Nothobranchius furzeri: one gene and its partner. The protein of the gene in region 1 binds, or shares a complex with, the protein of each later gene. Links are inferred from orthologs where the notes say so. Each region holds a gene or a part of one and is shown in the gene's direction. Other genes may lie near its edges. The genes, in order: ncf2 and rac2.

Region 1 (2,962 bases):
CAAAAGCTTTTCAAACCGGTGGAATTCCCTTTGAAAATGCTGTTTAGACCAAACAAGCACTATGTGGCTGAGCTGGAGAAAAAGGACTACCTGGGCAAAGCTAAGGTATGCATATAACAACCAGACCAACAATCACAGATTTTAACATAATCCATTTTAATTGTGGATTATTCAGATTTACAGATATATATTATTGATGAAGAACGGCATAAAACTCCATTTAAAATGTATTTTTCGAAACATTAGGTTGTTTCCTCTGTGGTTCCACAAGATGAGTTCTCTGGGTTTGCCCCGCTACAACCGCAGGTGAGGAATCAAATCAAACTGAGACCAATAAAGTCCTCAGAAGATAAATAAATGTTTCATTAGCCTCTAATATACCAGGGCAGATCAAATCCACTCATGACGAGGGGAAGTCTGAGCAGCGTCATATGTACATTAGTTCTTTACGATGTGAAATATAAAGCCTTTTTGCAATGGTGGTTAAAAGTGAAAGTCCTGTATTTTGTTAGGTCGAAGATGGTCCAACTTCTCCAAAAGAACCAGAAGTTTTGAGGTCAGTTTGAACATGTATTAGATTTTCTTTTGCTGTGATCTGAAAGTGAACATGTCCCAAATAGATAAACCAAACAGCAGATAAAATATAATCATCATATTCTAATTGTTCTGTTTCTCACGAGGACATGTGGACATCTCGTCTCCACAGAGCTCTACAAGGAGAACCACACACCGTGCTGTTTGAGTTTGACCCTGAGACCAGTGATGAGTTGGCTGTTGTGCCAGGAAACATTGTGTTTGTGCTGCAGAAGGGTGACGACAACTGGGCCTACGTGGTCTTCAATGAAAGAGTAGGACTAAAATCAGGGATGGGCTGAATTAGTAATTTATGTTTTTAAGTTCTATTGATTATTATCCAGTATGATGTCGATTACAGAGAGGACTTGTTCCTTACAATTACCTAGAGCGTTTGGAAATTTCCTTGGCTTCAAATCAACACAAGGTAGGGCTGCTGTATCAGTGACTTCCTGTTCGGCATCATTTTCTCTGGACATAGTCCAGAAAAACTCGTTGTTCTTTAAAATTTACTTAGGCTACGTTGAACAGTATGGAAACTTGACTTCTTTAATGTTTTTTTTTTCCTTTTCCCATATTTTGATTGGGAACAATTATCAGGGTTTAGCCAGACCTCTGAGTCAAGAACCACCAACCAGACCTGAGAGGAAAGGTAGATCTCACAACTACACATTTGTATTAATGCTGCCATTAATTTGTGTAGCCCAAGCTGAAACAGTCCCCTAACCATACACGACCCCTGGTTTGGGTATACACTATAAAACCTGCTTTTATTCCCATATTTTTCACAAGACTGATCCATTTATCACAAGGTGATAAGAAGTGAAATATTTTTGTTGGGTAATAAAATGTGATTTACTTTTATCTCATGCAATACATACAGTGGGTATGGAAAGTATTCAGACCCTCATCATTTTTTCACTGTTATATTGCAGCCATTTGCTTTTTTTCCCCTCATTAATGTACACATGGCATCCCATATTGACAGAAAAACACAGAATTTTAGAAATGTATGTATTGAAAAAGAAAACCTGAAATATCTCATGGTCTTTAGTATTCAGACCCTTTGCTGTGAGGTGCTTTCCATTTCTTCTGATCATACTTGTGATGGTCCAACACCTTCATTGGAGTCCAGCTGGGTTTGATTATGCTAACTGGACTTGATTAAGAAAGACACACATCTGTCTATATAAAACCTTACAGCTCATGATGCATGTCAGAGCAAATGAGAATCGTGAGATCAAAGGAACTGCCTGAAGAGCTCAGAGACAGAATTGTGGCGAGGCACAGATCTGGCCATGGTTACCAAAACATCTCTGCTGCTCTTAAGGTTCCTAAGAGTACAGTGGCCTCCATAATCATTAAATGGAAGATGTTTGCTTCCTAAAGCAGGCTGTAGAAATTGTCACTGCAGCCCTCCACCAGTCAGGGCTTTACGGCAGAGGGGACCGTCGGAAGCCTCGCTTCAGTGCAAGACTCGTAAAAATCCTCATTGAGTTTGCTAAAAGACACCTGAAGGACCCCGAGATGGTGAGAAATAAGATTATCTGGTCTTAGACCAAGATAGAACTTTATGGCCATAATTCTAAGTGGTATGTTTGGAGAAAACCTGGCACTGCTCATCACTTGTCCAATACAGTCCCCACAGTGAAGCATGGCGGTGGCAGCATCATTTTGTGGGGGTGTTTTTCAGCTGCAGGGACAGGACGACTGGTTGCAATAGAGGAAACGATGAATGCGGCCAAGTACAGGTATATCCTGGACCAGAACCTTCTCCAGAGTGCTCAGGACCTCAGACTGGGCTGAAGGTTTACCTTCCAACATGACAGTGACCCTAAACACACAGCTAAAATAACGAAGGGGTGGCTTCACAGCAACTAAAAGGCCCAGCCAGAACCCTGACTTAAACCCAACTGAGCCTCTCTGGAGACCTAAAAATGGCACACTGTTCACCATCCAACCTGACAGAACTGGCGAGGATCTGCAGGAGGAATGACAGGATCCCCAAATCTAGATGTAAGACACTTGTTGCATCTTTACCAAGAAGACTCATAGCTGTACTAGCTCAAAAGGTACTTCTACTAAATACCGAGCAAAGGGTCTGAGTACTCAGGACCATGTGATGTATCAGTTTGTCTTTTTTAATAAACCTGCAGAAATCTCTAAAATTCTGAGTTATTCTCTCAATATGGGGTGCTCTGTGTACATTAATGAAGGGATAAAGAATTTAATTGATTTTACCAAATGTTTGCAATATAAAAAGAGATGCGGCAGGGTGAGTGTCCTGTCACAGGGTCCCGATTGATCATGTGCCCTGGCTACTTCGCCAAAGGGATATTTGGCTGACTGGTTAGCGGGCATGACTCGCACCCGGGAGTCTAGGGATCGC
Region 2 (4,580 bases), on another chromosome or scaffold:
TGCAAAACCTGATTACAGCGATGCATGTTTATGCTGGAATCTTCTGAATCTCTGAGTTGTGCCTTTAAAAAATGAATTATACAGATATCTAATTGAAGACAACTTCTATTTTTGTATTACTGTCAGTGACGCACGGTCTTGTGAGTCTCTCTTCTGCATTTTGGCTCACAACAGTGTTTTACAAAAACAGTTTGCATGTCTTTTTTCTTCGCTTCTCTACCGCAAGCTGTCAGTAACAAGCGGAAAACCTTTGCAGCCTTAGCTCTTTTTAAACACAATCGGTTATTAAAAGGCCCCCGTGGCTCAAATTTGAGACACTGGAATGTATACAGTATAAATGCATTTTGATGTCTAATTATTAGGGAAAGCAAAATGACAATGAATGCTGATAGACTAAACAGCTGGAATTCAAATAAAAAGTTTTACTGATATTTTGGGGTGTCATTAATGCCATGAAGTTCATTATTTTGTTTTTACAACGTGATTATTTTTTTTACTGTTTTGCTGAAACATTTTCTGACATAGTATCCCTAATATGTCAGAAAATCTGATTTAAGTTTCAAGCCACAATAATAAATAATCCCACTTTAGGAAATCAGGGAGTTGAAACATTTTTTTCATCGCAACGTTTCAGCAAATATCTTAAATAATCATTGTAAAGCAAGAAAAGATTAAATCAGGTCTTACCCATTTTAGAATCTGTCATTTATATCCCAAAACAAATGAAAAAACAAATAAATGACAGAAAACTCCCTTGGCAACACAGTTGAGCATTAGGCTGCTTCAGCCTCCAGCGCAACAACTGAATGAAATATTTAATTACTTGAAGCCCCACCTCTTCCTCTTCCACGACAGGTTCACATGAGCACAAAGACAGACAATATGACCATCCTTCAGTACAAAAACATCTGGTTTAAGTACGCCGTGCAGCCCTGCACGTGGTCCTGAATAAATGATTCACTCAGAGCTCTAATACTGGGACTTTGATGTAAAGGTAATAAAGTGGGTTTTAATCTGGCATCATTTAGTTATTATAGTAAGAAATTTCTATTGTGTAAAAAATTAATCAGATTTTTCTTTGTTTTGAATATTTTTATATTTTTGTTTATCTAGAAATAAAACATTATTAGGAAACATTAGAAGGAAACCAGTAGATTACATTATGACCCAAAAACTGAAAATGAATGCCACCTGTGTTTTACAGGCCATTTTACCTTTCCCAGTCTAGGCTTTATCGTGGTGCCAAGGCGCCACCTGATGGCCACACCATGGTGTTACCTTCACCTCTGGTTTGTGACTACAGATGGTGGCTTTGAGTCTTTGTTTTGCTAACACCAAGTGTCACTCTAAAAATAACAAACCTTTGCGTAAATATAAAAATAAAGTGTAAATGCAATCATGTTTTGCCTGTGTGTGTGTGTGTGTGTGTGTGTGTGTGTGTGTGTGTTTTATGGTAAGCGACTCCGGTGATATTTTTTTAGTTTATTGTCGGCATCCATAGAAGCGCAAACGAAGTAGTAAGTTTCAGATAAAGCTGTTTTTATCACTTCAACTCCTTCCTCATTTTGCTCCGTGCAAAATTAAATCCATTTCAGCTTAAAGTATTGTTTAATTAATTCCCATAACTGAAATAGTGAATGGTCTATTTTAGGAGGAAAACTACACAAACAAAGGAGTAGAGGAAGGCAGGGTGAGTTATAAAACAACAGGTGGGGAGGCTGTCAAAAAAGAGGTAGCTCAGAGAGCGGAGAGGGAGGGAGGTGTGCAACAGTTTCCTGTAGTTGCATGCTCAGCTCTGAAACTTCCTCTGTCAGAGAGAAGAGGCGACGCTGAGCAGAACAGGATGCAGGCTATCAAGTGTGTGGTCGTAGGAGATGGGTACGGCTACATTTTACTTCACTTTATTTGTCCTAACTTAAACCGTGTTTACAGGTACGGAATTGGTCCCGATCATTCATGATGGACATGTTTGGACCTGAGTTCAGAATGTAGGAACTGGAGGACAAAATTGTCAAATCAAATAAGAGTTGCATCTACTTCCGCAGTGTCTGGATTCGTTGGGGGTAATTTTCTTGTAGAACATGTTGGTCCCAAGGTGTTTGTTTGACAGCACCGATCAGAGAAGTGGATGAGCTGTGCAGGTCACAACATGTAGAAAATGCTTCTGAGCAGCAAACCTTTAGCACAGGCCCCCTTTCTTCTGAGGAGGAGCTGAGAAATGTCAAGAAACAGCTGATTAAGGGGAACACCAGACAGAAATAATCAAAAATACTGAAATGTGAACTTATTTGGCTGAAACGGTGTAGGAAAGTTTGAATTGTGTCAGTATCCACTTTATTAACATGTCTCCATATTTAAAGCACAAATAAGTAACAGTAAAGAGACCATTTGTCATAAAAAGCCACATTAGTTTTGTGTCTAAGAGATCAATAACAGTTAGAGCGATGGAAGAGCCTCTCAGGTGCTGAAGCTGCTCTTCCTTGTGTGCTGAGCTTCCTGTTGTGTCTGATTTAGAAATGTAAAGCGAAGAAGAAAAGGAAGTTAGTGTGAACACGTGAACTTGTGTGCGTGACAGAAGCTTGGTGTATCTTTAGGTATTTTTTAATAAATGTGTACACATGGTCTCGTTCCCTCAAGGCAACAGGAATCAGAACCGCAGGGTTAGGTGGGGGGTCGCAGAAAATGATAATGAAGAGGAATTTGTGTGGGATGATTATTGGGTTTTTGATCAAAACAAACACATTTTGAAAACATTTTTTTCCGACAAAGGTCATGAAGTAACTTGTTAGAATTAATTCTCGTAATTAATTAAGACAATCTGTCAGTGGAAACTGGTGATATGAGTCATTTCTGCAGCACGCTGACTAAAATCCAAGCATCTCCTGTAGCAGAGTTTTGTTTTCTTTTCTTTTGTCTGAGTTTGTAACTCCACCATTTCAGTTTGAGCCTTTGTGGTGGAAACCCTTTAAAATAATCCTAACAGCTGGGATGATGGAGGAACACGTGTTTGCTGGTCTGACAAGAGGAAGCTTGTGTTAGGTTGGAGGGAAGTGTGTGAGTCTGTAGGTAGCCTTTGTGTGTAACTTTTTAAAATGTATTTACAGTTATATGTTCACTTGCAAAACTTTGAATTTTAACTATAAAATCAGAAGTTCATAAGTTGGCAGCTTGATTAAAAAAATAATAGATCACATGTTCTGGTTAAAAACATTGTAAAAACTTTAATCCAGAGATTTATAGTCACACCTAACATTCATGACTCACCCAGCTTAACTCGCAACGGGGAAGGCTGTTGTTGGTTTGGCGTGCAGGAAACAGCAGTAAACGTCTCAGCTAGGAGAAGCTATCTGTTAGCATTCGCAAGTCCACCACATGGCAGAACTCCTTCAGGTGTTATTTGTGAATAAAACATCAACGTTGCACAACAGAAGCAGTGGTAGGGTTGCGTTGCTGTTATCCAATCAGAGGTGAGATGTCCAAATATCAGGATATAAGACTCCAAATCCTGCTGAAGCTCAGCTGTGATGTGGCAATCTTGTAGTTCCTGCACGAAACAGGCGCGCCAGAGCTTTGTTTCCCCAGAGTACGATTCACAAGGCATTCATTACTACTAGAGGCCACTGCAAATGTATTAAAACTGAGCGAAGGACCTCGTTAAGTCAGAAACAGTGATAACACCACTGGAACTTAACTGCAACAGAGGTATTATTTTAAATTTCTTAGACTAAATGGGTTTTTCCATTAGTTTAAGAACCAATGTCCACCTAATCACCACAGATACTTAAAGTAAACATGAGGCAATGTAAATGACGAATTGTAAAAAGAAAGATACAACTTTACAAAGGGTTTCCCTTATGAGTGGCTAATAAATAGTTTATAAATATGTTATTAAGGACGAGAAAGAGAACACTATTTTGGCTCACCATTTTGACAGAAGCTGGTCACTTTTTTCTCTTTTCCCCCTTTTAAAGTATAATAAACACTGACCATAATTTATTGTGTTACAGATTTATTAATAATTTAAAATTTTTATTTATTAGCCATTTATAATTAGAGCCACAATGTAAAGCAGTAAAAAAATAATTAGTTTGATAAGAACGGAATTTTGTTCTGAGTGAGAAATTATGACACACCAAGTCTTACTGGTGGTATTGTGTTCAGATGTCGTCATGTATTCCTGTGATGTAATCAGTTGTGCAAAATTAGATACCGGTAATACACGTGACCTGGAAGACCATTTCAACTAAACTATTAAAGCTCAATTTTAACTATTAAATCTGATTTTTTTAATAATCTCAGTAACTGTGAGAAACAAATGAATAAACTCCACACAAATATAAAAAACATTACTTTGATTATTTCTTTGTAGACCATGTTACAAGTGCTGCCAAATCTCAAACTGTGAACATATTTATTTTAAAAATATGCTGCAAAAAATTAACCTAGCAGTGTTAATGGTCACTGCTCAGGCTACAGCTAAACATGTGCATAACAAACATCTTAAAGGGAACATATTATGCAAAAATCATCTTTTCCATCCTTTAATGCTGTGACATGTGTCCCTATTGCTTGTATAAATG

Evidence for each region.
Region 2: ncf2 (region 1) and rac2 share a complex: the UniProt entries of both Homo sapiens proteins name them as parts of the phagocyte NADPH oxidase complex. The link is inferred for Nothobranchius furzeri from reciprocal best matches to the Homo sapiens genes NCF2 and RAC2.

Annotation. Positions count from the first base shown.
Region 1 is NC_091747.1:36,772,652-36,775,613, reverse strand, and holds part of ncf2 (neutrophil cytosol factor 2), read left to right. Parts: coding exon 1-105; intron 106-246; coding exon 247-306; intron 307-512; coding exon 513-556; intron 557-706; coding exon 707-848; intron 849-934; coding exon 935-1,000; intron 1,001-1,155; coding exon 1,156-1,225; intron 1,226-2,962. UniProt on the Homo sapiens protein: Subunit of the phagocyte NADPH oxidase complex that mediates the transfer of electrons from cytosolic NADPH to O2 to produce the superoxide anion (O2(-)).
Region 2 is NC_091744.1:132,343-136,922, reverse strand, and holds the start of rac2 (ras-related C3 botulinum toxin substrate 2), read left to right. Parts: upstream 1-1,735; 5' UTR 1,736-1,843; coding exon 1,844-1,878; intron 1,879-4,580. UniProt on the Homo sapiens protein: Plasma membrane-associated small GTPase which cycles between an active GTP-bound and inactive GDP-bound state.